Mytilus edulis: one gene and its partner. The protein of the gene in region 1 interacts with the protein of each later gene in a pairwise test. Links are inferred from orthologs where the notes say so. Each region holds a gene or a part of one and is shown on either strand. Other genes may lie near its edges.

Region 1 (16,748 bases):
GAGAAGTTTTGTCCTTTCAAAGAGTTTCTCTAGTACTACTCAATATCAATCTTACCCTCGTCTGATTTTACAGAAATCAAATGCCATGGACCTATATGACACAGCCTTTTCATTTAGGTATTTGGAATATCTTCTTATATAAGTTGACATGTCATAGCCTAAAAAGAAAAATGGACAATCAACACAATATGTAATAAAAAAAAACCACAATGGTGTTTAAGATGGTTCAGGGATCTAAACAAAACCTTTAATATAGAAAGTTTTCCCATCTTACCTAAAATGCTATTTCAAAAATTATGATTCAAGTACTAGTGAACATTATACATTTATTTCCCGTGGCTGAGAGAGATATGACGATTTATTCACCAAAGAAATTCATATTTCACGAGGACTTTGACCTTGTCTTATCTGCTTCTTTTAATAAATAAACATTGATAAACAGTACGAATCGAAAGTAAATAAATAGTCTTTTAATTTTAACGCTGAAATAAATTCTAACACAGTACTGACTATACTAATGATATTTAAAATAAAACCACCTTCAAAATGGTACAATGTATGTACATTAACCGTGTGTAACGTCATACTACAAAGTCACGATCTGTAGTGGGGAATAAGATGTTCAGAGGGGAATAGGAAGTTTTGTTCAACGTCACATGTGATAGTTTCAACCAATCAAATGTTGATTTCACTAATCAACATGCAGTGGAATAATAAGAAATGATGCATCATTTGAAATAATTATGACATTCTGAATAATATGACTGCCTTTGAGATACAAGTATTTATACAGTAAAATGTTAACCCATGGATGGTGAAAATGAGACACAAGATATGAATACAAATAAGAAATATGGAATATATGTGCTAATCAGATAGGTACAGGGAACCAATGACAGACAAAAGAAATTTCTGTGGTCGTATAAAAACCAACTACATGTTTTTAAAGCAGTCGCTGAACCATGAAAATTAGGCAAGACATATATGGAAACTTTGTAACATAAGACATCATCATACAAAGTATGAAGCTATTCTATCTTCAAAATTTAAAAATATAAATCTTCATACAAATATCTTACAACAGTGCTTATAGTAATCTTTTTGCCACATAGTAATCTTATCCCTACATAGAGTAACATAGTAATCTTATCAATACATAGAGTAACATAGTAATCTTATCGTCACATAGTAATCTTATTGCCACATAGTAATCTTATAGCCTCATAGTAATCTTATCGCCACAAAGTAATCTTAAAGTTTGACCTTCTACAACTTTAATTGCATGTTAGACAAAAATCGGTTATTAATATTTTCAAAACATTTAACAGGAGAAAGACCTTGACCTGTTCAGACTGCTGATGTTAGTGTTAGTTTTGCTCCAATTACTTCAGTTTGTATTTTATCCCCTTTGTTTTGTTTAAGCAACAGTGACCATATATGTTGCAAGAGCAAATCACAAGACAAAATGTTAAGCTAGATACCTTTAGAAGCACACAGGAAAAGTTTTGTAACATTATGCCTGGAAATGTAAGGAAGTGTTTCTTTAAACAGATGATGACAACAGACGACAGACAGTTAAAGGACGGATGGTCACAGACAGTAAGTGCCTTCAAAGGCTCAATTTGTCTGTTTATGTAAGATAAAGTGTACACTTTTCAACAGCAATTAGGCTATTTTAATCACCTTGAGTTTCTTTTTTCTCACCTTGAACTCCAGCTTTATCTATAAAGTTATTGAGGTTAAAAGTACAGTTATTGGAGGCCAAATACTGTGTGAATCTCTGAAATAAAATAAAATATAATTGTATTTATTGTCATAGTGTCACTGTGCCCACAGGATACACCTATTCCGATCAATCGTACACAGATCCTACACACCAAAACATTACTCTCATACATGTAAAAGAAAATTGACAAAAGTTATGACAATTGATTGTTATAATCATAATTAAGTAAAATGTGAAATTGAGTTAGTATTTTACTAAATATAAGAAACTGCTTCAAGTCTCAATTGCTGACCATGCTATAATATGCCAATTTCACATTAATTTTCACCTTTTCTAATTTCAATATAAATTTCCATTCAATTATTGTTTGTCTATGTACAGTGTCTTGCTATTTATTGTAATGTAAAAATAAAATTGACCTTCATTTAGTCGCAGGAAACAACATATCAATATCACTGAATATATACAATAAGAAAAAAATATCATTTAAGCCTTTTTGTGTTTATAAATGGACATTGATTGCAGTACATCCCCAAATTAATTTTTCTTCTTAGAAAATCTGGTCAAAAACCCATCTTTGTTACGTAAACATGGTAAGAGGATCCTTCTTCATCATAGATCCTTATCAAGTTATACAATTACCATATCTAAGTTATTTGTGATACATACCTCATTGCCATAATTCATTAAATTCTGTATCGTAATTAAGGACTTAAACACTATTGTCCAGTTTGTATGTTGTGTTCTTTCAATCAGTAAATCGGCTAACTGTGGAATGGAAACATTTGGCTCATTGGTGCATTGAATTAAATCTGCAAAATAAGAGCATGAAAATAGGTTACATATAACCTGGGAAAGGTAGGCATGCTGAAGAATCCATTGATATCCAAGTTTTATTTCTATTGAGAAAATATATATCCAATTTTAATTTTTCCAACTAATAGTCCATTTGCCAATTCATAACGGATTTGATTCTTTTATTACACACTTTTTTTAAACAAATTACTCCCTTTTGTTAATCATAGACTGGTTCTATACAGGACAAAATTGGCTTTTGTCAATGAAAAAACTAATGAATTGAAAGAAAGGTATCGGTTTCACTATTTTTTCACGAAAAATAATTTCTGATAACAAAAGTATTCAGCAAACAACAAATGAATGTAATCATGGTAATCAAAAGATTTGAAAACCTTAAAGATACATTGTACCATACATTACACACAGGTAAATTTGCTCTTTCTGCTAGCTCTACATTGTGAATAAAATTTATGTCACTCCTAAGGGAGGCAACTAAAAAAGGGATCTCTAAATACAGGGTCAAATACGGGAATTGGCAAATGGACTATTTGTCATATAAATCTATTTGATACTCTTTTGACATAAAACTCTGAAATTTGGTTTATGGATAATTTTCAGTCACCTTTTAGGTCATCCAATAGTGCTGCTGTAAATAATACTTTTTGTGATACTAAGACATGCATTGGCAGGAAAATTTCCTTTTGAGAAGGTTCATCTTAAATTTTGTAAAGCAGTATTGAGACTGAAAAAGACAGTCCCCAACATGTGTTCTAGATCAGAATTATGTAGAATTACTTTAGACTCTTATAAATAAAAGCAGGGTGCAGCTTTATATGACTGCAGAGGTCGAACCCTGAACAGTTGGGGCAAGTGTGGACACTACATTCAAGCTTACTACAGCTCTGAATTTGGATTACAAATTTATTGCACAATAATGTACAATTAAAGATTTCTTCTTGAACCCTTTAACAAAATTTGACCAACCCCTAACTTTTTGAATCCCCCTTGGAGCAATAACCCAAAAGTTTTGCCAAAACTGGATGATGGATCCCACCCTTTCCATTGTAGTACAATTTCAGAGAAATCCAAACACTCAAAACACAAGTCATTGTCCAGAAACTAGAAAAATGCTTGTTTTAGCCCTTTTTTGGCCCCTAATTCCTGCAGTATCCCCCAAACTCAATCCCAGCCTTCCTTTTGTGATTTGAAACTTTGTGGTACAATGTCGGAAAAATCCATACACTTACACACAAGTTATTGTACAGAAAATACAAAAATGCATGTTTTTTAAAAGCCCCTTTTTAGCCCTTCACTCATAACTGAGGGAGGTAAAGGGTTATTTTCGTGCAACGTGATCGCCGTTTTTTTATTTCACGTTCAACGTGTTTATACTTTTTTATTTGACGTTCAGTCGTGCAAGACGGGTGCCTCGTTCAACGTGTTCTGCTTATTTAATTTTACGTGCATTGTGATTTTCAAAGTCTTATTTTGCGTGCTCGGTATTTTTCAAATAAAATTCAAACACTTGACAGGGATCGTCAAGAAATACTTTCCAAAAACCGTAAACCAATTATATCATAAATTTGTATACTAAATCGGGAATATCAAGTAAAACAAAGAGTTATAGCGAACCCTATGATAGTTTTCCATAGATTCACCTGCAAGTTACCTGTCGATTTAAACTTTTGGCAGTTCTATTGTCCCATCTAACAAATACAACAGGTATTGTTCTCTGTGTAGTTTATTCACTGGGACCTTTAAATTTCTTCTAGGAGAAATATATCACTCATTGATTAATTTACCTGAACAAAAAATTGAACTGTCAATGATGAAAAAATACTTATACCAATACTAAGAAAGGACTCACAAAACTGCATGTGGTGTTGTAATTTATTCAAAACCAAAAACTTGTTTTTAATGTGTTCAATATTAATAATGATTTAAAAATTAAAAGTTGATTTCTGATCAAATATTCAATAAATATTTTTGTGTGTTTGATAAATAAAAATTTGAATATTATTATTTTTAAATTAAGGTCTTCATAAACATAGTCTATAAATTAACAACAACAAAAACATGCAAATTCTTTGGAAAATACTAAAAAATGTGTCTAAAATATACTTTTTATTATTAAATCAGATTTTATATTGAACAGATTGAAAATATATTAATAGTATATTGAATAAATACAATATTGCATACAGTTTATGTGAGTTTATAGAAGTATTTCAATAAAAAAACAGATAATTTTTTGGTCAGGTAAATTAATCAATGAGTGATATATTTCTCCTAGAAGAAATTTAAAGGTCTTGGTGAATGAACTATACAGAGAACAATACCTGTTGTATTTGTTAGATGGGACAATAGAACTTACAAAAGTTTAAATCGACAGGTAACTTGCAGGTGAATCTATGGAAAACTATCATAGGGTTCGCTATAATATATACAAGAAGACAGTGATTCAGTCACAAAAGGTTCACATATTATTAAAAGTATTTATTTTTAGTGCAACGTTCATTAAAGAAATTATTTCACGTTCAACTTTTTTTTCGTGCAAGTACCCCCCCCTTTACCACCCTCGTAACTTGTTGGCCCCAAAATAAATCCAATACTTCAACTTGTGGTAATAAACATTGTGGTACAATTTCAGAGCAATTGAAATACTTACACACAAGTTAATATCCTGAAAGTTAAAAAAAAATGCTTGCCCCTTTTCAATGGCTTTTGGGCCCCTATTTCCTAAACGGTAGAGACCATCTTCAGCAAAATCAATCCCAAACTACCTTAAACTTTAAAGGCTATTGAACCTTCTTATTAAATTTCACAGAGATCCATTCATGTAAAGTTAAGTTATTGTCCGAATACCAAATGTGCTTTCGGATGACGCAGACAACAACGAAGACACAGACGACGAAAAAATTTTTTGCGATCGTATAAAAATCTCAGACACTCATGTATTTTTAAAGAATAAACTCTTAATCAATGATATTAATCCAATGTTCAAAGAATCTCTTCCATGATATGAACAAACATTTATTTACATTCCACAGGTTCTCATTTGCAGATAAAATTAAAAAAAAACCCTGATAAAATCAATATCCATCTGGTATGTTTAAGATTCATGTGGACCCTATGGCTAAAATGGTCGTATTTTCACCTCAAAATTTACTCTGAGTACAGACAAACCTGTGTATCTGTAAAAAATTTCAGGCATAGCATGCCCTAGATAAATAAATTTCAAATGTGTTTAATGTTAAAGAAAAATAAAAAATTACAAGGATATTGCTGTGCACTTTTTTCATTCCTCCAGAAGGTGCCAAAATAAACTAAGTTGGGAAACAGGTTTGAGAACTTCCCCACAGATAATAATTGAAGTGAGCTATTTTGATTGACATGGACAATAGATGGACAATAGATACCTGACAATAATTGGTTATTTAAACTGTGTACCTGAGTGGACCGTATCAAGAGAAACTTTTGACTGTTTGTTAATTTTATCATCTTCTGCAGGGACGAAAAAAAGTGCACGGCTCAATCCAGTTAAGGAACCAAGACCTTGCATTCTGGCAATTTATCTTACACACACATGAAGTTTTCCAAAACAATTGTTTTCAACATGTTCAAGGAAATTAATACAAATGGACATTTAAATTCAGCATAACAGAAATGACATCATTGACAACACATATCCAGTGAAAGTGTGTGTTTAAATGAAGGCCCGTTTCGAATAATGATCAGTTCTGGAGGATGCTAGGCTTATTATTGAAAGTAAGGGCCAATGAATCCATGCCCATGGACATGATGGTAAATGGTTTTTCAAGAGAACAAACTGCAAACATGGACCTATAGAGAATAATATCCCTACGGCAATTTATTCTGAGGAAATTGTTTAAGTTGTCCACCCTCAGAACCCAACAAGGGACTAAATTATTTATACTTTAGTTGTCATGGTAAATGTACCCTATCATCACCAGCTGCATACCAACCATCACCCCAAACTCAGGTCAAATAATAACACAATTATCCTTCCTTATTTATGCCATGTCATCATACAGTAACCGCTAATTTTGGGGTTACTTACAATCCAGATGTTTTTTCTTTGGCCCCATGACTTCTTCTGTAGTCGCTTTACATACAACCTTGGCCAACCCTTGGCCCGAGAGGCTGTGTTTAGCCGCAGTCATGCGATCTAAAATACTCTGTCCTGACATTTTGACTAACTATATGGTTAGAACACTCAGGAGTCACCAAGGGTCTTCTCTGACCCAAATGAGTGTGTTGAAATGCTCTAAATACACAAAAAGGGGTGGATACGGCGACCAATAATATTCAAGATGGCTGTTTCATTAATCAATCTCCGAAACAGAGGCGATCGGATTTTTTTGTTACACTAAGTTTACGCCGGTTTACTACAAAAATTATTAGCTTTTTTAAAAGCTCGGCAAAATGTACTGTTCTTTATAGGCACTGCTACGATTACATGAAACTGCAACAATCATAAAAAATAAATGCTCCGCAGAGCGCAGCTGGATACGACCGAAGTTCAAGCCTGAACAGTTGGGGTCGCAAAAATAGACGCAATATACAAGCTTGATATCTGACATACAAGTCTGAATTTGGATTGTAAATTAATGTGTTTGGATTACCTCCCTTACACTGCTTTTAGATCAAGACAACAGTAGTATACCGCTGTTTGAAACTCATAAATCGTCGATTGAGAAAAAAAATCCCTCTTACAACTTGAACTAAAGCTGAGGGAATATAGTTATCAAAAGTACCAGGAAACCATTAACGAGGAAACCCTTGTTTTTCCTCTCTTTTGCCCCTAATGCCTAACCAGTTTGAGCCATAATCCCCAAAGTAAGCCTAAGCATCCCTTTGTGGTATGGAAACTTGTGGTATAATTTCAGAGTGATCCATACACCGTTCCAAAAGTTGTTGTCTGGAAACTAGAAAAAAGCATATTTGTGGCCCCTTTTCAACCCCTGATTTCTATACTGTTCGGTCTTTAAATGTCACAGTATCCGATGTGATTCAATGAATCTAAATTCTTAAGAATTTTAAAATTCTCTTCTCTTGTTTTTGATTATTTTGCCAGATATTCGGAATCCTCCAGTTTCATTCATAAAACGCCATTAAAAGTTATGCTCAATTACCCACATCTTTTTTCGCAATTTTAGTGCATATATCTAAAAAAGACATATTTTCCAAACTTTTGATTTTTTTGGATTTTTTTAATGGTGCCAATATTCTATGTAGGAACAATCTAGAGAGAATCATTTCTCGCCAAATTTTCGATACCTTATATCTCGAAAAAAAAAGGTTGTTATTTTGAAACAGAGTAGTGAGCATTCTCAAGTAGATGATTAGTATTACTAGTACCAACCGTGCAAGGGCTGTATAGCCAGTCAAGGTCGTTAAAAGCTTTCATTTGTTACTAATATGATGATTCAGTCATGGGGTAATGCAAATTTGTAATTGTAATGCAAGGTAATGAATTCCCTTTCAAAGTAAAAGTATGTAATGTGTTATATTAATGCAGCAATTTTATTATATGTGAATATAGCGCAAAATTAGAGAAACAGATTCACCACAAACCTCGTGTATTATGATATTTATCCATATCAACAGTTAAATCTTAATTATCCGTTAAAAAGCTCGGCAAGTATCGCACTTTAAGGTGGTATGGGAGTCTAAATTAAAAATGATAGAATTTGTTCATGCTAAAACATAGCATTTATCGATATGTTCAAAAATATAATAAAAAGGCGGTGGCTATTTTGCCGGCTCCGGCAAAATGGCTGTTTATAAAGAATTTTGCTATTTTGCCGGTCTTAATAAAGAGTAAAATAGAAGTACATGTATAGAAATAAAGAGAAACATACACTTCAATAAGAAATTTCCATACAACTATGTCAGTCTTCTTTATACATATATAAATACAAATCGTGCATATTAAATTTGATATTCTGTACAGTCTTTTTAAAACATTTTAAAAGTAAACGCATTAAAATTGATACAAGTACTTTTTTTCTTCGATAGAAGCTATTTTAAAATAAAATCTTTAAAAAAAATATACAATACCAGAGAAATATAGAATATACGTCTCTGATAATATACATAAGAGAAGCATACGAACCCATGTAAAAAAATCGACATTCTGATACAAACTTATAAAAATATCCTTTTAGTTTTGATACAAAAAGTAACACCCAACAACTCAAACTGCTTAACGAGAGTTACAAAACCAGTGTCTTGCTTCTTGGTGGTTTTTTTTTCTAAGTCTGGCACCATAAAGGTGCTGCCACTTCAAACATGAAGTTAACATAATACTTCAACGATTTTTTTGCGTCAGCATCACTTATGCAAAATTTGCTCGGTTATACATTTCAGTATTCAAAATTCATAGAATAAATGCTGTTTGAATAGCTAGATTTCTATGCATTGTGTGTACAATATTTGTGTGTTTATTTTATAATACTTTATTGCACCATAGACAATACATTAATTATTATTAAAGTTTTGTCTGGTTTTCATGAATTTTATAGTCGATGTTTCACGTTTCAAAGTACTCCAAAACCGGCTTAAACTCTTCATATCAATTTGAAAATCAAGTTTGTTTGATAACAAATTTTCCATTTTCGAACGTTCAATGTTCAACAGAAATTAACGTATGTATAAAAAAAAACCGGAAAATTTGGTAGGATTTCCAATCAGACAACTCACCGCAAGAGACCAAATGACACGGAAATTAACTACTATACGTCACGTACGGCCTTCAACAATGACAAAAGCCGCTTAATCAGGCGTCTATAAAAATAACATGTATACATCTCACAAAAACACAGTACATGTAATTAAATGAGTGCAGTTCACCAAAATTGATTATGACTAGGAAGGCAAGGCGAACAAAAAGTTTATTAATTGACATTTAGCCACATATAAATTTTGTACATGAATAGTTTCCCTTAAAAATATATTTCATATAGTCTTGCCATGATTAAAAATCTGAAATAAGACCGGTAATTTAGTGGTTGTCTTTTGTTTATGTGTTGCATATTTGTTTTTCGTTCATTTTTTATATAAATAATGCCGTTAGTTTTCTCGTTTGAACTGTTTTACATTGTCATATCGGGGCCTTTTATAGCTGACTATGCGGCATGGACTTTGCTTATTGTTGAAGGCCGTACGGTGACCTATAGTTGTTAATGTCTGTGTCATTTTGGTCTCTTGTGACCAGTTGTCTCATTGGCTATCATACTTCATCTTATTTTTTATAAAATAGAAAAACTCTATATTATAAATCGCTAGCTATTTCGACGGCACCGGCAAATAGCATCTTAAAGTCACCGTACATTTTCTCAAGCTACAGGATGTGACAAATGGCAAATTTTGTATGGATTATACAGGAAAAAAACACCCGATTATGTGATTAGAAGCTAAACTAAGAATTGTAAATAAAATACGAGATATTTTTAAGAAAATGCATCGAGAATATCAAAAGAGAAGATAGGGTCACCGTGTGTATTTTTAAGCTAAATTACAAAATAACTAAATTCCACAGTAAAGATTTCCTCAGAAAATGCACCATTGTAGAGTTATCTCCCCTTTAAAATGCCTATTTCAAATCATTAAAAATCTAGCAAAAAATAATCTACACTTTCAAAATTATTAATATTAATAATCTTATAAATGTGTTCTTTCAAATGCAAATTCACATAAGTTATCGGCATTCTTGCATTAAATTTTGCTAATTTGTTTGAAAATCTGGACCTTAGATTTTTGTTTTTTTTCCAATCCAAGTTGTCGAAAGACACCCATATCAGTTACATACCGGCCGGGAGTAATTCATACCTAAGAAGAAGATCCCGGCGGGCACATTTTTATACAACCAGATAAAAACATATATTAACTCCCTTTCAATGAACGGGATGCCGAAAAGAGAGAGAAATGCACAGTGCCCCCGTGGAAATGCTATTCGCAACACGATTTACACACATAACACACGTGGTTAATTTTTGTACGAAAGTCACGTGAAAATAATGGAATGTCAACAATGCTGTAAAAAGGGCGTACCTCTGTCAATCAAATAGCTTGATGGAAAAGTCCATAAATGAAATATCAGAAGGTAGAGCGGCATGAATTTTATCAATTGGAGATTACTTGCTCCTAAGATAAATAATTTATTACTTATATTTCTTACAGTTCAAAATATCATATGTTCTGCTAAAATATAAATTTACTCGTCCATAGTTAATTTTAAGAATAAAGATGTAGGTCAAACAACCTGCTACGGAATTTGTGTTTCTTAGACTCGTCCATTTTGGATAGTGGCCGTATTCAGTGCCAGATTTCGACAGAGATTCTTGGGTGAGTGTTATTTGTTTTGCTGCTTGTGTCACCAGAAACAAGTAAAATGAAAATGAAACTACACATTTTAAAAAAAGTAACGAACTTTATTTACTAGAAGTTACAAATTTTGATATGGGACTAGATGCATCCGAACAACATGGCGGATACCAAAAAGGTGTTAAAAACCAACAGGTTAAAGTATATTGTCGTTTACCTATTTTTTATCAGATAATAAAATATCAAAAACAAGAATATATGAGGAACAGTTGATTACACCACAGCAAAACGACTGATTGTATTTTGAGAAAGTTGTCCAGAAAGACTGCTTAATATTCTTCAAATATTTACATTTTTATTGACATTGTATAAATACCTATTAATTTAAGTATCATATATACTGTTTAAGTACAATGTACCATGCAGTAACAAACAGGCACATTACATATTTTGTTATTTTTATCATGCAGTGTTCCCAAACATTTGGTTATTATCAAGCAGTTAAGTTGCCAATTTTCATCAGCTGGTACATGTATTTTATGCAATTATTTTCTATTGATGAGGGGGCCTCGTTTGCCAAAGTCGAAGTCGTAGTCGTACTACTGCAATCACTAGCCAGTCAACACTAAGGTTGTGAGTTCGACCCCACTTGTGCGGGTGTACTCTACTCCAATCTTAATTGACTAGGATTGTCAGTTTTCCTATCGAAGGTCAGTGGTTTTCACCAGACACTCCGGCTTCTTCCACCAATAAAATCTGGCTGCCATGAAATAGCCTAAATGTGGTGCTTAATAGTGGTGTTTAACACCAAAAATCAAATCAAATCTATAGTTGAGTATTAATATATTTATATATAGTGGATTTGGGTATCTTGTTATTTCAACTTATTAATCCCTTTTCACTTTGCTCATGTTGCTGGTGCAAGTGTTGCTTTGTAATGGCATTAGCCTGCTCTTTTTATCAGATCTATAAGTAACAAGGGTGTACATGTCTTATACATGCAAGAGATATATTGGTCTTTCTTACTTATTGATGAATATTCAGTTTTTAGTTGAATATTAAGAAGATGTGGTAAGAGTGCCAATGAGACAACTTTCCATCCAAGTCACATTTTGTAGAAGTAAATCATTAATGGTCAAAGTACAGTCTTCAACACAAAACCTTGGCTCACACCAAACAGTAAGCTATAAATTCCCCAAAATGACTAGTGTACAATGGTGTACATGTTGTACATCATGTACATGTTAAACCTTTCAAATTGGTAAACCAACGGTCTAACCTACATGTATATGGTTCTAACCTATATGAGAAACGAGAAACACTTATGAACCACATCAACAAATGACAACCACTGAACATCAGGTCATGATCAGTATAACAATCATAAAATTGAGAATGGAAATGGGGAATGTGCCAAAGAGACAATCGTATACATGTACCAGAAAATATTTACCTCATATTATGTTTTTAAAGTCTATTCCATACATAAGAATAACAAGAGCATGTACATATTTGTATATGAAAGTGGCTCACTACCACATCGTTGCTGAATGCAAGCTTTATTATATATGCCATCATTCATAAATACCATATGAGAATAAAGAGATGTTGTATGAATGCCAATGAGAAAATGGCCCTTAAAGAAATGACTATCTCACTTAGCAGTACCTGAAAGGGCTGGTCAGTGACTTGAAGAGGCGACCTCTTTAGTGTCTAGGTGACCAGATTTTATAGAAAACTAAGCATGTGGGAGATTACATTTCAATTCTTCTAAAAGTCATGTTTTAATCATCAGAATATAAAAATCCTTGTTGTCTTCTCCTGTGGACAGACTTGGTTAACTTGGCCCAGGACTTTTCTGACTGTAAATTAGACTTCTAGGATCATTATCTTCCTATTATGCCCCAGTTTATTCTGGGTAGATTTGTCAAGTACTCTACCAAAAGTATTTGTAATAACCGTTACATTAGGTCATGATGAACACACAGGACAATGATCATGATGATAACAAAATTGATGAATAAAATATAGCAGGGGTCATAATAAGGCACAGCTAGAATAAATAAAACCAGGACTTAGGATGACTATTCGGGTGACCAGGATTACTGCTTAGAGCAGATCTGTGTTTTCTGAGCAATATAAATAAATATTTTGACTTGCACAGAATCATTCAGTAGTTCTGAAATTTTAATGGTACAAAACATATATCAAGACCGGGCAGCCAAAATAAAAATATAAAAATAAGTATAAAATTAAAGCAGTAACTTAATCAGTGTTGTATTCTCATTAAGGGTAGCAGTAAAATATTGAATTGATTACTAAATAAGAAATCAGGACAGCCCTTTATTTAAACCATGAAGGAATCAGAAACAAAACCACTATTGACATTTTCTCTAATATATCATGCTAGCAGTACTGCACAATTTGCACACCCTTTCTTGTAGTTTGATTTTATTTTAGCACCAATAGAAATAAAAAATCTGTCTTATGTTTAGAGCAATTATAAAATTGTTTTTGTCAATATTTCTTATTTGAAAAGGTGAACAATGATTTAAATGGCATAAATTGTATACAAGTAATGCATATTTTTGTATCAATACCTTAAACAATGTTATTACAGTAAATAAAACAAAATGTGTTTTGCTATATTTTATGAAAAAGATCAAGAATATTTTTTGATTTTATAGGTTTGCTCAAGTCTGCATACAAGCCTATATAGAAAGTTTATACTTGTCGAATATTTATATTCATGGTTTATCTTACTTACTAAATTTTCCAAGAATATTGGTATCCACGGACCACCAAATACTTATGAATCCATAGTATCTCGAAAAATATATTGAGTACAACAATGTACAAGAAGGTAGAAACTATTTATTTCAAGTATCTACCTGTTATATCAATGTTTGAAATGTGAGCAATTTAGGCTCTTGCATTGGGAGCCTCTTGATAAGTTATTTTTTAAACAATTTTCATTTGATTTTTACTTTCAGGTTCTTTAAATGTTGAAAATATAATAATTGGAGTATATGTGGATCTTTCAACATGTCTATGGTTTTGTTGGATAATACTTAGTAACAAAGTGCAAATTATGTGAACACTTTTAATTCAAAGCATTATAATGAGAAGTGATAGAAATATAATGGATTTATAAATATGGAAAATTGGACAAACTTAACTAAGTAACATGCTACAAAACTTGAGTCCTTCAAAAAACAAATTTGATAAGCTATTGAAAGCTAATTATATTGTGAACAAGAGATGAGATATGATACGTAATTCTACCAGTGGAAATGATAATGATGATCCAGAACGTGGTGGACGTCGACCGCTTGTCATTGATAATCAGGGTCGGCAAATGCTCAATGACATTAAAAATGCCTTAAGTCACCATCTTAAAACAAGTAAACCTGAAGGAGAAATGTCACCAAACATTATTAAGCCTATATCAGCACCAGGAAAAAGCCGGAAAGCCTACAACAAGCAAGCCATGGAAGCTATTCACAACAGTTTGAGACCATTCCAGCATGGTAAAGATGAAAAAAATGGCCATAGTAGTGCAACATCTACTCAAGGAAGTGATGAAAGTGAAAAAAATGATGTGAGTTTTTGTTACATATACAAATGTATATCATGTATATATACATGTGTAGCTACAAAATTGGAATTAATAATTTCGGATCATTATTCTCCCACATGCAATATGTTGCGGGGGACATGGAATATTTGGGTTTCAGTCTGCTAATGCTGTCTATTCAGTCATCTTAGCGCTCTAGATCTGTAAAGTGTACAATTTATGCCAGATTTTTATGAATCTTATATCACAAGTTTATATCAGCAGTGCCAATCAATTATTATACGACCGCAAAAATTGAAAATTTTTTGGTCATATGTTGGTATCATGTTGGCGTCGTCGTCTGTGTCGTCGTTGTCGTCCAAAGACTTTTGGTTTTTGCACTATAACTTTAGTATAAGTCAAAAGAAATCTATGAAATTTAAACACAAGGTTTATGACCACAAAAGAAAGGTTGTGATTGCTTTTGGGAGTTTTGGTCCCAACAGTTTAGGAATTGGGGGCCAAAAAGGGCCCAAATAAGCATTTTCTTGGTTTTCGCACTATAACTTTAGTTTAAGTACATAGTAATCTATGAAATTTTGACACAAGGTTTATAACCTCAAGAGAAAGGTTGGGATTGATTTTGGAAGTTTTGGTCTCATCAGTTAAGGAATAAGGGGCCAAAAAAGGGCCCAAATACGCATTATTCTTGGTTTTTGCACAATAACTTTAGAATAAAAGTAAATAGAAATCAATGAAATTTAAACACAAGGTTTATGACCACTAAACATTGCTAAAGGAAGGTTGGGATTGATTTTGGGAGTTGAGGTCCCAACAGTTTAGGAATTAGGGGCCAAAAATGGCCAAATAAGCATTTTTCTTGGTTTTCGCACCATAACATTAGTATAAGTAAAATAGAAATCTATGAAATTTAAACACAAGGTTTATAACCATAAAAGGAAGGTTGGGATTGATTATGGGAGTTTTGGTCCCAACGAATTACTGGCCAATAGGGCCAAAATTAAACTTTGTTTGATTTCATAAAAAATTGAACTATTGGGGTTCTTTGATACATGTATATGTTACAGGGAATTTGTAAAATCAGGGATTTTGTAAAATCACTGGGCTAATCAGTGATTTTGTAAAATCACTAACAGTTTCAGTGGTTTTGTAAAATCCCTAAAATTGTTAGGGATTTCACAAAATCACTGAAAATAGAGCTAGGGATTTTGTAAAATCCCTGATTTCAATTAAGTATAACTTGCTATTAGAAATGTTTTTTTCTTAATATAAAAATAGACTAATGATCACTAATGATTTTTAAATATCATGCGCGTAGCTACGTTTACGTCAAAACGCCCGGGCGTACACTTGAATTTGGCAAAAAAAAATATTTTCATCTAAATATTAGTAAAAGAATTGGTTAACAGTAACCTTGTAGGTCTTTCTTCAATGGCTTGCAATTTCGAATAAAAATGACAAAATTGGTGTTATATTTATATATTTGTTTATTTTCTGTCAAAGTCTAAATCTACCGTGAATTCTATACTCGCTTTCCTTTGTTAAAGCAATTCCTTGTGTACTTAAAGTCGAAATGTGGTATGCATTTGTTTTTGATTATAACCGTGTAGATGTACAATGTAGGTTCAGTATGTGGGTAAAGTTTTAAGATATCAATAACTTTGTCAAACCTTCGTATGATTTTACGATAGCTGGACAAAAACTGTTTATGGTCAAAGGAGTTACCAGCACATCATGACGAAATTATATATGATGAATTTTCCCGTAATTAATGGATTTTTAAAAGGAATTTCTTGAAGTATTTACATTCTGAGGTTAAAATTTGGTACATATAAATTACTTTGTAAAAACCGTGGTCGAGGTTAATGAAACTTTCTTGGAGGAAAACGCGTATGGCGCAAGAATAAACTTTTAGCGGGGATAAATTGCAGTCGAGAACCAGGGTTCCATAGAGAGACCTTTACTAATTTTAATATTGCACCTGAACAACTCAGAAAAATAAGCATTTCATGTTCATTTACGATTCTAAATAAACAATGAATAGATTAAACATAAAAAATAACCATTTTGAATCTAAAGAATGTTGTTACTGATATGAGTTTTCAATGACAGGAATGGTATGTCATTCTCGATAACTGTTAAACTTCCGGAGGCTTCGCACCCGCTCATCTCCTACCAGCTGGTTTATTGGCCTGGACCCAATAGGGCCTCTTGGCCCCTCACCGATGTTCGGGCGTACACGTAAAAATGACCTTGCTACGCTACTGAATATATTTGTTTATTAAACCTATGAGCTAG
Region 2 (16,485 bases), on another chromosome or scaffold:
TTTTTATGTCTGTAAACTGTGAGCCTCTGACATAAAATTTGATAAATTGACATCTCGGCTTCTAATAACCAATTAGGGAAAAGAAAGCATGTAATATATTAACTTTATTTGATTGCATCTGATTGAAGATGTTTTCCTAGGAAAATACACTAACTAATTATTCATTCACATGAACATCTCCGTATTATATTCGGTAATACTTTTGAATATTGTACGCTACATATACATGCATTCTAATCTAAACAGAATAAAATAATGTTAGTCAAATAAAGACAAGTCTGCTCTGTTCTATCATAAAACGATACTGTTAGTCAACGTAAACAATTTCAAATTAAAAAATCAAACAATTGTAAAACAAGAAAATAACAGGCATGTGATTTATTGCAATATTTAGGTTATTCGGTCTATATAATTCACTCAAATCTGATGTTTGAATCCGAATTATGAAATGTTAAAAAACACTTTCATAAAAAAAATCGCGTGCCTGTTAAATGCGCACATACCTATATGTGTACCTAAAGCAACAGAAAAAAAATTGTTAATAATGATACTAAGTCTTTCAATTGAATATCTTTATATTAAACGTATGATTAAATGTACGACTTCAGCAATATGAATCCTTTCAATAATGTTAATTTATATAAATCAATTAACTATTTCAACATTCCTTCATTATACAACTTTTTTTTATTACACTGTCATTGAAATTGACAAATAGCCGCTCCTACTAATTAAGGTGGTTTCCTTTGATGTGAATTAAACTCAGGTAGGTCTGCTTTTGAAAACAACTCATAAGCTTTGGACGATGTTTACTTGTGGTAATTAAGAATATAAAGAACAAATGTGACTTTTTCAATTCTTTTGAGCGGTTAATTTTAAATCTTAAATATTAAAATTTGCATTCATGATAATTGTATTAATTTGAAAGAAATACCACATATAAACATTACTTATATAGTTATTGTAATAACTTTAACAACGTTAACGTTCACGATATCGATCACGAGATTTAACTTCTTATAATTAATTAAACGGACGTCTGTTAAAGGGCCGTCGTTATCTGATGGTATCAGAGGGATTAAAAGGTAAAGGTCAAATCTGCCGAGCGGAAAGACGATTTTAACTGCAGACGGCAAAAATAACTGATTGACAGCAACTTTGAAATACGACAGCTATTTTGAATGTAGAATGTCTATAAAATCGATCTAGTCAATAATAATAGCTGTTGACAGGCATCATAGGCAGTAAGCGGGCTTGATAGCTCTTTGGTTTTTCTAGTGTTCTTCCACCATAATTGTTCAGTAATATAAACATTTTTTTTACATTTCATAATAGATGTCAGATGGTCCAGTACAATGTTAACATGTTTAATAGCTTACCATTTGATGTATTTGATGGTTGTTCTTTTTTAACAGGGGACTGTGCTTGTGCTACAGGCTGTCCATTGGGTTGTGCTGCATCTACAATACATTAATATAATTTAATTTTGGATGTAAAGCGTCTTCCGATTGCCTGACATTAAAATTGAAAATGTAAATGGGGAATGTGTCAAAGAGACAACAACCCGACCATAGAAAAAACAACAGCAGAAGGTCACCAACAGGTCTTCAATGTAGAAATTCCCGCACCCAGAGGCGTCCTTCAGCTGGCCCCTAAACAAATATATACTAGTTCAGTGATAATGAACGCCATACTAATTTCCAAATTGTACACAAGAAACTAAAATTTAAGTAATACAAGACTAACAAAGGCCAGAGGCTCCTGACTTGGTATTGTTTAGTTTATCAGCTCATAGACATAATTTTGTCATGTGACATTGATGGCATCAACATTTTTTCATGATTTACTCAGGTTTAAAATGGAATTAAGAATTAAATTATAATGACTGTAATATTTTTTTTGTCTATTCGAAATATCATAAAAAATGTGGTGCACACTTTAAAAATTCAGTGTGCACCACATTTTTGATTTTATTTCTTCAGACAAATTTTTTTTTTACAGTCATTTCTTAAATAAATATAAATAATAAGATATTGGTTATGAGTCAATGTTACATCAAACCAAAAACACTACTGTTAACTTTGATGAAAGCAATATATACAATAAAGAATGGGAGCAGGGAATTTATCAGAGACAACAACCCAACCAGAGAGCAGAAAACATCCCAAGGCAACCAATGGATGACCTTTTTAGTATGTATCAATATAAGATCAGTAGCAATTAACTGCTGGACCATACCCTAGAAAAATCAAAGACATCATCAATACAGGTATTAGCTTGTTTTGTCATCTCCTGGTTCTTAAAATATTGTAATGTTTTTTTCTGAACTCAAATCTTACTTTCATTTCTTGCCTCACCAGGTTTAAACTGCTGAGGGTTTCCTAGCCTCACTCCTACATCACTACCTTTGGCTAAAACATTAAGATCTAGGAGTATCAAAACACGTCTACAAAATAAAGAACAATATCTTATCACAAGCGATTACATAAGACCAGTATCTACTTTTTCATCTGGTCATTGCTCACTCCAGCCAAACAAAAAATAAGTGTATTTAGCAGAACTCAAAAAATGATTTTTCTGGTCTGTTGAGTCGGGAAATCCAAAAACAACTATTTTGACTTAACACATTTGAAGTTAAACCAATGTTCCATGATTTGACCAATAACCTAACACCAAAAGAATGTAATACAATGACTTTTTCTGTTTTTATAAAACAGTAAAACCTGCAAAAATGTTAAATAGTAGAATTGTGCTATTAAACACCTAAAATTTAGCAACTTTTGTTGCAACTTTTGTTACAATATATGTGTCAATGTTCCAATGAAATTACCTAACAGCTATATAGGCCAATATTCTACTATCTAAGGTAAAGACTGAACATTTGGCATTAAAATTTAATCTTCACCATATACTTTTGCAGTAACATATAAAATATTTCAAAATGAGAGTTTAAATTATTGCGTTTACAACTTTGTTGCATTTTTCACAATAAAAAACCTCGAATTTATTTCTGAATTTACAGTATTCAAAATAATACCTGTCTCCCTGGATTGTATTACATAAATATTTGTCAACTTGTACCACTGCTAAATTATCCATCTCCCCCGACTCCATTAAGTTGTTCAGTTGTGTGGCCAACATGGCATCTAAAATGATTACATGTCTTGGTATTAAAATATTGCCTGTATTCACATGTGTGTAATGTATATATGTATACATGAATGTATAATGTGTGTTGGCAAAGGTGTAAAAATTTTTAACTTGTGTCATTTTTGTCCTAATTCAAGAATTTACAGACTGCTGATTTTTTAGATTTTCTTTTTTATTGGTTTTACTGGTTTCTGGTACTTCATAAGGCATTGATACCTTTCTGACCAATTATACTCTATGTACAACTAAATGGAAAACTAAACATACATGTTTTAAACCATAAACAATCTCAATTAACAGATTATTCAAAATCTTTTTTTCTCTGGTGGTCCTTCAAAAAGATCTGTTGGTCCCCACTATTATTTCTATAGTGAAATACCAAAATAAAGTTTATCCTTTGTAAGATTTTGGTGGTCAAAACTTTTAGATAATTTTTTTAAAAATCTGAATTAAATTTCAGTTTTCTATAAATACTTTAGAAAGGCCTTCTTCATCTTCCTTTTAAACGAACTTAATTTAAATGATGAAATCATGAGGCCTAAATTAATATATTGTTTGTTTCCCCATTCCCGACCCTGCCGAGCCAGGTGTTGGTAGGTAGGTAGGAAAATAATTTTATTTTTCCAAAAAGGTTGAACAATATCGTACAATCCGGCAAGCCAGGATATTGGAAATGAAAATAATATTTGACTTAGTTTTGACAATAAAATTTTATGAGTAGCACTGTTTTTGCAGAGTCGGTCGGGATGGGGGAAACAAACAATATTTTATTTTAGGCTTGAACCTTTCAAACACTACCTTATACTTTGTACATACAACTTCTTCCAAACTAATTTTAACAAAGCCTTTTGAAATTGTACAAGATAAGAAAATAATTTTGTGATTTTACTCATATGCAATATACACATATTTACGTGAATAACTGTGAAGTCCATCTGATAGGAGGAGTCTGTATCTATCTGCACTGGATCCTGCTGCTGTTATTTTCTTTGAGCTCTGCAGAATAGAAATGTAATTGATGAGAAGAAATGAAATCAAAATTTCAAAAATATATTAAAGTATTTAATTTATGATAAGACTAAGCAGCTCCTGAAAATCTGATTTACTCATTTGTCAAAATTAGTTTTAGAGATAAAAGACCAAAATTTGTCATCATACTAATTTCATTTATATTTCAGACTTTTGTTCATCCCAAGACAAAAACACTAAAGTTAAGGAAAGTAAACCAATATTTTGATGCATCAAAATGAAGAAATCACATTACATAATGTCCTATTCACAAATACAAAATAAATTTTGTTACATTTTCTCAGCCAATTAAGGGGAGACAAGTCAGAAAATTTAATGTTAATATTTATTCTAATCTTCTTATAGAAGAAATGTATATTCATGGAAAATGTGTAATAGATTAACCTATTTGACTTCCTTTTTGTTTTCTCTGGTGGATAGTTGCATTGTATCATTGGTAATCTTACCACATCTCAATTTTTTTGTAGATTTATCTAATACCTGAATATAGAACATTTTAATACATAAGAAGAGAAGTTATCAGTTGGGTTTTTTCCCACTCCCCTTTTGTAAATAATAAGACTGAGATGAAAGGGGAATGTGTCAAAGTGACAACCCGACGAAAGAGCATAAAAAAGCCTGAGACCACTAGTGTGTCTTCATACTTACAATAATCTGCAAGACAGGTCTATCAAAATTGTTTCCACCAACTATAGCCTACAAAAAGAAAACACACAAGACTTTATAAGTTATAGCACAATAGGATTTACAATTGCACGAAGGAGCTTAAGTTTATTTTTTAAGTCATTAAGATATTCATCCAAAAGTTTTCACACTGAGGAATTTTATCCAACTTGGATTGCTTTATAGAAAACAGTAAAAAATATATTGAATGACCAAAAGGCGATAAATTTTTTTGAGACATTTATTTATCTAAGTATATAAGTTTTACAGATATTGGAGTGACTGGAGTCTATGCATCATCCATGGTATAGATGATATTGTAACAAACCTAGGGTTACTATAAACTGTTTAACCATCATTCAGGAGGAGTGGAATCGACGGCAGTGTGAAGAAACAGATTTGTAATAAACATAACAATGATATTTATTTCAACAGTTTTTTGACTTCTTCTTTCAATATAATAAACATCAAATACACATTCATCATTCAACAGATAAAGCAATAAATCGGGTGGTCAATATAAAAGGTAGTTGACGGTTCAAGAGATTGATTCAGAATGACATGTGTGTCTACAGGCTCCTATTTATGTCTTTTGGCACTTACTATGACGTTAGAGTAAACATCTAATCATCCAATCAAAAGCAACGTTTCTTACGTCTTTTGGCTAGTAACGTTTAGAAAGACAAACAGATTTCGTTATTCTTAGATAAAGAAACATTATTAAGTTGTCCTCACTTTGTCCTTCTTGTCCGAATTATGTTTAAAAGCAAATGAAACTAAAAGGACATTTCTACATAATGCTATTTTTAAACGGACAGTAAATTCCTTTCTCGGTACGGCGTATGAACTTGGGTGTAATTTACATAACCTTACGCATTAGATATAATGCTTAAATAAGATCAATGAAAACCCTGTTCTATCATAAATAAAGACAATGTTAATGAAAAGGGAGGCACAAACATAATAAATACGCAAATTATCTGCATTGACAAAGTGTTAACTTAAACAAATGATAATGTGAGATCGCAAAGTGAAAGTACAAAACGGTGTCGTGGCAGATGTAAACAAGTTGAATCTCACGACGATATTTGTCAAAATAAATCACTGTATGACGGTATAATCAAAGTATTTCATAGGTAAACATTACCAAGATATACATATAAAACTGACCCTTATCGCTTGCAAAGTACAAATAGTTTAAATCATGAGTATGAAAGTCAATGCATTTATCAGTGTTTGTGCACTCGAGAGAAGTTGACCACCCGGCAATATTCAAATAAATATATGTCATATACAATAAATAATACGTTAAATAATAACAATAATAAGTCCAGATTTGTCACAATATCAACAGGATGAGCCTATTTACTTTAGCCCCCAGCACCATCTGATAATACTAGAGGTCACTCAAAACTTTAAAAAAAAACAGTGTAAGACAACACATAGACTGTCTAAATACTTTTCAATTAAGAGCAAGTATAATATGTAGACAGATTAAAGGAAGATGTGGTATGAGTGCCTAGATACATTAATATATTGTTATGCAATGATAATTTAAAAAAAATAAATTTTGTCCTTAATATAAATGTGGATATGATGCCTGAAGTCTTATATTTTCGCAACTGCATGGAGAACACTTTTTATGCAGATGCTGATATACATTTATTATATCTTTTTTATGAAACTAAAACTGTTTCAATGGCTATGGTTATCAGGGTTTTAATGCTTAGTTTTAAATTTAAACCAAACTCCTGCTTTTTACCCCCTTGTTTTAACTACGGTACATGTATAGTACTGCTTTATTTGCTGATGTATTATGTGTAACTCTTTTAATTTTGATTAAATTAATATATTAATCTGTGAAATCTAAGTCGTTTTTTTTACATTTTTCATTTTGATATTGTTTTTGAAAAACAATGCCTTTTGATGTCTTACATTTTATAAATCTTCCGCATAAACTGTGATCCATTATAATCAGTCTTTCGAAATTGTATTCATAAATTATATTATTGTTAAAATTGAAACATTCATACTTGTTTTATTACAAAAAAATTACTTGTCTAAAATTAAAAAAAAAATAATGTGCACAACTTATTTTATCAACACAAAGTTGCGCTATTTTTTCTTCCCCGGGCGCTTTTATTTACCCGGACACATTTTAGTAGGACCCATTGGGATGAATGAAATACAGCAATTATGATAAAGAAGCTTGCATCAATTAAATCAAGGACATATATGTCACATACGACTCCACAGCACAGCTGGTGTAGGCACATGTGTATCCGACATCAAGAATGTTAAATCTGACTTAAACCTAAAGTACACATCTCACCTAACGGTTAACTCTAACCATAAAGAGAAGGGACTCCCTCATCGGCGGACATCGCTTATAAGATCTATATTAAATTATACATTGTAACTGAAAGAAGGACATGATAACATAAAGTTTAAACAGGGATTGTTGAATGGTTATTCGCCTCTTCAAAATTTGATTAACCTCAATAGCACCCGATGTTAGATCTGGTGCCATTCTGTGTTGTTTTTCTGTGAAAGTGCTGTGACTGCTTTCTGCTTTATTTGCTGATGATTGCTTATTCCCGCTAAATATATAGCTTACTACGCATGCGTCAATTGTACCTCTTTTTCCGGTTTTTTAAATGCAATCATCTAAGCGCTTTACAAGAACGGTATTAGCAGTGGCTTGTAAAGCATTTCAAACTTAAATGAAAAATGAAAACATTGAATAAATGTGAAAGATGAAGATGAAAGGGATCGGTTATTCGTTTTATGAGCACCATGTAAAAGTGTTAGATTAGTCGATAGACTTATTAAACGCCGCAATGCCTTTTGTTAATATGAAAAAGGCTGCTCAGGCCTCAGGTAGCTCAAAAAGTTTTGCTGTGAAAGTGACAACAATGGATGCAGAACTTGATTTCACGACTGTGGAGGTGAATATTTCGAGCATTACTGTGTGTTATTGATTGATAAATCGTCTCTGACATGATATTTTGTAAAACTACTAAATTAGTTAAGTAATAGGAAACACATATATATCACACTGAAGTCAAATCACACATAATTTTATTTAAAAATTAGTCATTTCGTACCCAGATAGATGTTATCTGGTGTGTTCGTTCACCTGTAGAGTCTTTCACCTTCTTTCAGTTTCTGCGATCTCTGAGGCAGAGTTGTCTCCGTAGTTATTACTGAAAATTACTACTAGTCAACAATGAGGTTGTGAGTTGAACCCGGCTGGTACGGGTGTACTTATTCCAATCTTAATGGACTAGGATTGTCAGTTTTCCAATTGAAAGTCAGCGGGTTTTTCCAGGCACCTCAGCTTCTTCATCCAATAAAAACTTGCCACCACAAAATAGCTCAAAAGCTGTGTTTAAAAGTGGAGTGGTGTTAAAACATCAAGAGTTAAATCTTTCAGTTTCTAGCAATCCTTCAATTATTGAATAGTGTGTTGCCATGAGTTCGTTCTCTCTACTTTTATTGTCGAGCCTTCGACTTAAGTCGAAAAAGCGAGACTAAGCGATCATACATTCCGTCGTCGTCGGCGTCGTCCACAAATATTCACTCTGTGGTTAAAGTTTTTGAAATTTTAATAACTTTCTTAAAATATCCTCGGTTGGTACCAAACTTGGACAGAAGCTTGTTTATGATCATAAGATAGTATCCAGAAGTAGATTTTGTAAAAATAAAATTCCATTTTTTCCGTATTTTACTTATAAATGGACTTAGTTTTTCTACAGGAAAATATTACATTCACTCTGTGGTTAAGGTTTTTAAATTTTTTTTAATAACTTTCTTGAACTATCCTCGGTTGGTACCAAACTTGGACAGAAGCTTGTTTATGATCATAAGATAGTATCCAGAAGTAAATTTTGTAAAAAAAATAAATCCATTTTTCCGAATTTAAATTTTAAATGGACTTAGATTTTCTGCCAGGAAACAACACATTCACTCTGTGGTTTTTAAAATTTTAATAACTTTCTTATACTCTTTTGGATTTGTACCAAACTTGGACAGAAGCTTGTTTATGATCAAAAGCTAGTATCAGGAATGAAATTTTGTAAATGACTAAATCTATATTTTCATATTTTACTTTTAAATGGACTTAGATTTGCTGCCAGGAAACAACACATTCACTCTGTGGTTAAACTTTTTAAAATTTTAATAACTTTCTTATACATGTACTATTTTGGATTTGTTCTTAACTTGGACAGACAGAAACTTGTTTATGATCAAAAGCTAGTATCTAGAAGGAAATTTTGTTTTCTTCCAGTTAACATTACATTCAGTCTGCAGTTAAAGATTTTAAACATTTATAAGATTCATAAACTATCCTGGATTTTTACAAAACTTGGACAGAAGCTTCTTACAATCAAAAGATAGTATCAACAGGAATATTTCATTGATTTATTTCCTCATTTTTGTTGAGCCTGAGATTAACAGAAAGAGTAGGCAAGACACTGGGTTCCGCGGAACCCTTACAAATTTTTTTAATATATTTATACTAATGGCATTCAAGTTTAAGAAACTTATTCAGATATTGGTGTGGTATAAATTCTTGAAATTCACTTAAACATGTAAACACATGGACATATTGAAGCATTGATTGTTCAATGACATGCTAATAATTCTGACCCGTTCTTGTAATACTTGTCATTGCCTTTTTGGTGGATTTATAATTAAAAAGATGTTTTAAAAAATATGTCACCTGTTTTTCTATTAATACATATTAAACTTAAAATATCTACAATTTCAAGATAAAATATCTTGATTTGTTACTTCTCTATATATTTGAAGGCCCCCTTGAAGGTTTTGTAGGAGTAAATGAGCCATTTTGAACATAAAACCCACTTCGACATTTTGAAAAGTTGGCTGATATGCTTAGCAAATGAGTTGGGAAATATATATGCATACTTTAAGAAGTTTAGTAGTGGCCTCAGGATCATCAACGTTCAAAAAAGTAAAATCAATAATAAATAGGAAACAAAGATTCTTCTTTATTTCAGAATTAAAAAAAACAAACAAGCATTGACAAAATATGAAAAAAAGATACCTTAAAGTAATATAAAATAAACTTTTAATCAATGTGTAAGTACATACTAGACATACATTAAGTTTTATTCTATTTTTAGCACAAGGCTACAGGCAAAGATTTATTTGAACTGGTGTGTAGAACAATTGGTCTGAGAGAAACATGGTACTTTGGTCTGCAGTATGTTGACACGAAAGGATATATAGCATGGCTCAAATTTGATAAAAAGGTATTTTAATTAGGGCCCTGCGGAATGGCGAATGCCCTATAGTGATCATTCTGTACGTCGGTCTGTCCATAACAAATTGTGTCCACTCTATGTCTAGACAACTGTTATGATTTCAAAGTTTATACTTGACATGTATATTATACAACACCAGAGGGTGTGTCATAATTTATGTACAACTTCGTAGGTCAAAGATCATCATCAAGGTCAAAATCATCGGTTTCAGTTGACAACCCCATGTTTAATGATAAAGATACACATTTTTTACCACACATTATTCACAGCGGGCCCACAGAGATGGCTTCCATCTCAATGATATCTAGTTTGTTTTTTTCAAATTTTATGCTCTGTATCATCAAGCTAATTTACTCAATACAAAAATTTGACCAACAAGATATATTTTTAACTGAAACAATCAGCCACCTGGTATTCACTCTATCACTATTAGAATAGCAGTATATTGTGTATTGACACAAAAACATTAACATGATGAAAAGATGAACATCATGAAGATTATAGACAAGAAGTGCAGAAGTTAAATATTATTTTCATGTACATGTAACTACGATTAATTAGAACAGCCATATTATCATTTACTGTGTTCTAGCTGCAACATCTAGTTTGTGCTGCAATGAAGCTAGATTACTTTAAATTCAGAAATTCTTGCACCCATTTATTATTGCAACTTTTGAAAAGTGAACAAAAATGTAAGTTTAATTATTGCAATTTTAGGAAACGCTGCTTACAGATATATATATCTGATATCAGAATACAAGTAACTTCTAATTATTGCAGTATTAAATCAACTAGTAATGACATTATTTGCATTGATAAAAAACTTTGGCAAAAAATTCTGAATTTACAGTATATTTCTAGATAAATGTACATGTGACAGTGTTCTCCCCAGGATTTTTGGATAGCGCTGTGGTAAGCGCGTAATTTTCGACAATTCTCAGTAACTTTATTGCGGCGCGCGTTTTGTTTGTAATTGATTTGATGTGTTTTTATTATATTATGCTATTGATGTTTTCTCTTGTAATGATGTCCTCATCATGCTCATGATAGTTACAATGTACCCCTTTGTTTGTTAATGTTTTTGTCTGGATACACATGATATAGAAGAAGAGTCTTTTTTTTCCTCCATTGTAAATTCATATATTAAATCCTCATACTATCAGTGTATAAAACTGAAGGAGAAGTCTTTTTCCATGATGGGTTTACACCAGACTACCTATGTGAAGATTTCTTAGCACTAACAGGTAATGTTGCAGAACATGTAGGACCAACAATAAAGTCCTTGTCAGCTTCTGTTTGGTTTTGTAACCCACTGTAGCAGTGTACAGTTTACCGTCTTTACCTTACGACGTTTGACAGGAATTGACATTTTTTTAGCATAAAGATTTCTCATTTGTCTGACCTTAAAGTTTTATAATATTTAAATGGCCTCATCCAAGCTGAACATCGAGAAAGTGAAATTTCTCAAGTCGTATCAGCTTGGGGTTTGTTTTTCTAATCATATCCTCTCAATTGTTTTCAAATGGTAGAATTTCTGACTAAACAATTATAAGTTTGAATAGGTGATAATTAATACTTCAAAGACTTGCTCATTTTCGGGGTTCGTATGGATAGTAAACTCGGCAAATAATTTGTAACAAACCCCGGTGTTTGATCGTTTTTAGTGGAAGAAGACGTCAAGTCTTCTGAAGACTTAAGGGGCCGACCATTGGCTTTGAGTCTCCGTATGCCGCATTCATTTCGTGTATTACAATATCAAAACAACTTAGATTCCTGACACCGATTTTTACACATGATTGGGCATCTGAATCATTTAATTTGTAAATTATGATTGTAAAACAATCACTATCGTAAATATGACCCTTTTATTTATGTAAATTATTAGATTTCATCTCATCCACATGAACGTAATTTGTTTACTTGTAACAGGATGTTTTTACTGTAGATATTTGTATTACGCATGCGTGAATTTGGTATCGGTACAACTCGCCCTGTTTACAAGTTCGCCCTTGAAGTTACGAATTTGCAATCCTGCAGACAAGAAGATTTTATTTTTATATAAATAAAAAGGATATATAAAGTGTTATCTTTATTCATGGGTTTCCTTTGTCATGTGAATTAGATGCCCTTCGTAACATACATGTGAACCTCCCATTTAGGAGAAAAAACTCCCGTGTATGAAATTTTTCAGACGCCATATTTGATCATTTCTTACTACTGTACGGGTGTAATTGACACCTGTGTTAAATTTTACCTGAACATCAAAGAAGATGTATAATTATATGGCTTCACTTGACAGCTTGGGTGTCAAACATACTGGTAATCAACGATGTTTACCTCCGGCTAACTGCCGTTGTGTTATCAAAACGATGTGTATTGGGAATATTGAAATACTTTTTTGTTACTTCCCTTTGTTTTATCCTGTTTTCAGTTATTTTGCTTTTAAAAATGTAAATGGTAAAAAGACTATAAATGATTAATATTTTAATCAAATAATCATAAAAGGATGTTGATTAAATGAATTTAAATGATTTTGGACAAATAAAAAAATTAAAATTTATAAATTATTTTATTAATTTAGACCTCCTTTCAAGGATTAAATTGAAGTTGATATATTAAATTTGTTTATAACTGGTTAGAAGGCAACATACAATATGTGCAACTAGGCTAATAGTCTAGCTTCTGCTAGCTTCATGTATAATTTTTCTACCGATTTACTATATAACTAGAATTATGCAAACAGACTTAAGGAAAGGGCATGTAAGTCATGTAAGTTCATACAAATATGACACTTTTTCTAGACAATCCAGATCTTGCAAAATACATCGCTAAAAATTGTAACCTTTAATTTTGTTGTTGTGCAGTAAAAACCCATATGGGAACTTTCAAAAGTTGGCAGGTATGTAACAAGTCTTACTATTTTTATGCTCCATTTATGGGCAATATGTTTTCTAGTCTGTCCATCCGTCCTGCTTCTGGTTATAAAGTTTATGGTCGAGGTAGTTTTTGATGAAGTTGAAATCCAATCAACTTGAAACTTAGTACACATGTGTTCCTCTTGATATGATCTTCTTAATTACTGCCAAATTAAAGATTTTACCTAATTTTCATAGTCAACTGAACATAGTAAATGGTTGTACGGATGGGAAATCCATGTACTTATGACCTTTTCTTGTTTGAAGAAAAAAAATACATTTTAACGATAATGGAACAAAGCAGCCTGGGTAAGTGGGGCTGCTTTTATGGTAATTCAAGTTACCTTTTATTCACCTTCTTCCACTTCAGAGCTATCAGCTCTTTGATTAAAATCATCGTTTGTTTAAAGTTGGTAAAACAAGTTTGTGAGTGTCGTCGGGAAATGCGGTCAATTCATTTCATCTCATTTCATTCATATATGCCTCTATATAATCTTTTAATTGAAAAAATAGATGTCAATGTCGAAATCTTTGTTTATTTTGATCTTTCAAAGACGCATTTTTGTATTAGACTGGTCCCGCGGAGTTACTTTAATACAACGGAAATAATTCATTCAAAAATCGTATACCAGTCAATCACGTGATCCGAAGAGTAAAATAAGCGGGAAATTTGAAAAAATGCGAAAAAAAATATAGCGACGCAGTTGAGTGGGATAGCGCTGCGGTAAGTGCAATAGGACAGCGGGAAATTGAAATAGCGCTGAAAATCGCGGCGCTAAAACGGCCTGGGGAGAACACTGTACAGTGAAAGCAAAGATTTTATCAATAAAAAAATTTAAACATAAATTGTTGAAAGTAATAAACCTAAGAAATAAGTGGTTTCAGTAGGCCAAATAAAAAATATGTGTGTTCTGTTTTCCATACCTAAGCTTAGAAATAGCCTACCTTAAAGCTTTTTGGGTAATTTTTATGCCCCACCTACAATAGTAGAGGGGCATTATGTTTTTTTATGCCCCACCTACGATAGTAGAGGGGCATTATGTTTTCTGGTCTGTGAGTCCGTCCGTCTGTTCATCCATCATCCGTTCGTCCCGCTTCAGGTGAAAGTTTTTGGTCAAGGTAGTTTTTGATGAAGCTAAAGTCCAATCAACTTGAAACTTAGTACACTTGTTGCTTATGATATAATCTTTCTAATTTTAGTGCCAAATTAGACTTTTGACCCCAATTTCACAGTCTGCTGAACATGGAAATGATAGTGTGAGTGGGGCATCCATGTATTATGGACACATTTTTGTTTCAAAGATGTAATAGGAAACATACATATTAGTTTATTTTGGTCTTACCATTTGACAAAATAACAGTCAGTCATTTTCAAGTTAAGGAATGTAAAATAATAATATTATGTGTTCTTTCACTTCAGGTGCTAGACCAAGACATACCAAAAGAATATCCAGTACAGTTTTTATTCCTGGCGAAATTTTATGCTGAAGATGCCTCTGAGGAATTGATACAAGAGATTACTCAACATTTATTCTTCCTCCAAGTTAAACAATCAATACTGAACATGGACATATATTGTCCTCCAGAGGCTTCCGTACTGCTGGCATCTTATGCTGTACAAGCTAAGGTTTGATTAATGGCTCATTGTTTGAAAAATATACTGTGGATTCATAATAAGTTGGATACCAATTTTCAGGTGAACCACTAATTTAAATGTTCGACTTTGGCAGAACCACGAAATAACATATCAAAGAAAATACAAAGTTTCCGCAATTGTGGAAAATTGGTACCCTCGATAATAAATGAATTCCCAGTACAATGCAGTAGTCTGCTTACAAGCATTTAGTAATGTTATTGTGCTATTTGACCAGTCAAAATACAGTGGCTTTATAAACTTGGGCTTTTATGGTCACTGACCCTAGAGAAGTCTTATAATTGATGTTCGTAATGTCTTTCCATAGAGTTTTGTCTTTGACTCTGTGAAATAATATTCAAATTTGTCAAAGTTGATTTATATTCAGACCATTTCATTTGGTACAGTTCTAGGTGGTACATAACACTACAGGGAGATAACTCTGGAAAAATCAGCTAAAAGTTTAAATCACTTTCTATTGTTAATGATATATTTAGCTTCTAAAAAAAAATGATCAAAAGTAGTGTTTTTCAAACTGCTATACAATGTATATCCAATGAAATTTTTCCGAGGAAGTGTTTGCTTCATGTTTTTCATTTTTTTTTATAATTTTGTCTAATAAGTTCAATGTTTCAAAGTTAGTATTTTGACAAAGTTTTATGAAATTTAAACGCGCCAAATTATTTTTAGTTAAGGTATTTGGTATACCTTAAGAGACTGCGGATAAAGAAAAAAACTTTCATACAGTGTAGTCTTAAATAGGCCTATTTGCTATTTGACATTAAATATTTTAGTCTACATATTATGACGCTGTAAATATAACAATATAGTCATGTAAAATCAGGGCACGTTCCAACGTCTGCAACCTGTAAAATCAGTTCAAACAGGTATTTGTTTAAAGAATTTTATCGTGCATTCCATGTTAAATATATCATTTGAATATTTCTGTATGAATCATATTATATTTTCAGTATGGGGATTATGATCCAAGTTCATATAAACCTGGTATCTTGGCGAGTGAAGATCTGTTACCCCAGCGAGTGATTGACCAGTATCATATGACAGCTGAGATGTGGGAAGAAAGAATAAAAGAATGGTATGCTGATCATAGGGGGATGTCAAGGTGAGTTTTAGGTCATATCACTGCTGACGATATGCTCTTTTATTTGACAGTGCCCTCAAGAAAACTGTACAGGACATGGATGCTAATCAACAGACTATCAAGGATTATTGAAGTCTTTGATATTTACATAGACAACCATGCACCATTAGTTTTTTCAATCATTAATTTTCTATCTGAAGACGAGTAAGTAGTGTGATATCAAAAATTCTCTGAAAAAAAAGATCAAAGGAAAAATACACATAAAAGCAATTTATAACATAAATTATGGGCTTGAAAGGAATGATATATTGATTGTGATGTAGTAAACAATTTTAATTGCACACATAAAGCTGTAAACCATTTTCTGTTGAATAAGTCTCTAGCTTATGAAAAACTTTATGTTCAAATTTTAACAGCAGACATATTTATGCCCTGTTGCAGCAAAAGGGGCATTAAGTTTAACCCTTGTACGTATATACATCCCTAAATTAGTTTTCTGTTCTCTAACTGTAACCACAAAACATAGATCAAGTTTGAAATTTAGTTGTGTCACTTTTACCATTCTAGAATCAGTGTTCTCCCCAGAAATTTTGGATAGCATCACATTTTGCGTAAAAAAAAAATAACTGTATTTTTTTTAATGTCATTTGTCGCGTCGCGTCGAAGCTCTTTTTCCTTTATATGTTTTTTGTTTATATTGTT

What was found.
Region 2: the proteins of serine/threonine-protein kinase LATS1-like (region 1) and merlin-like interact in binary tests that used the Drosophila melanogaster proteins (3 or more experiments, as listed by UniProt). The link is inferred for Mytilus edulis from reciprocal best matches to the Drosophila melanogaster genes wts and Mer.

The regions. Positions count from the first base shown.
Region 1 is NC_092353.1:65,157,664-65,174,411, forward strand, and holds the start of serine/threonine-protein kinase LATS1-like, read left to right. Parts: upstream 1-10,579; 5' UTR 10,580-10,894; exon of another isoform or gene 10,895-11,068; intron 11,069-13,866; 5' UTR 13,867-14,141; coding exon 14,142-14,474; intron 14,475-16,748. UniProt on the Drosophila melanogaster protein: Negative regulator of Yorkie (Yki) in the Hippo/SWH (Sav/Wts/Hpo) signaling pathway that plays a pivotal role in organ size control and tumor suppression by restricting proliferation and promoting apoptosis.
Region 2 is NC_092349.1:5,673,680-5,690,164, reverse strand, and holds the start of merlin-like, read left to right. Parts: upstream 1-7,503; 5' UTR 7,504-7,682; coding exon 7,683-7,790; intron 7,791-9,992; coding exon 9,993-10,121; intron 10,122-14,468; coding exon 14,469-14,675; intron 14,676-15,652; coding exon 15,653-15,804; intron 15,805-16,485. Other genes in the region: replication protein A 70 kDa DNA-binding subunit-like, read right to left, coding at 1,380-1,460, 2,340-2,446, 3,038-3,146, 4,065-4,146, 4,828-4,875, 7,340-7,372. UniProt on the Drosophila melanogaster protein: Regulator of the Hippo/SWH (Sav/Wts/Hpo) signaling pathway, a signaling pathway that plays a pivotal role in organ size control and tumor suppression by restricting proliferation and promoting apoptosis.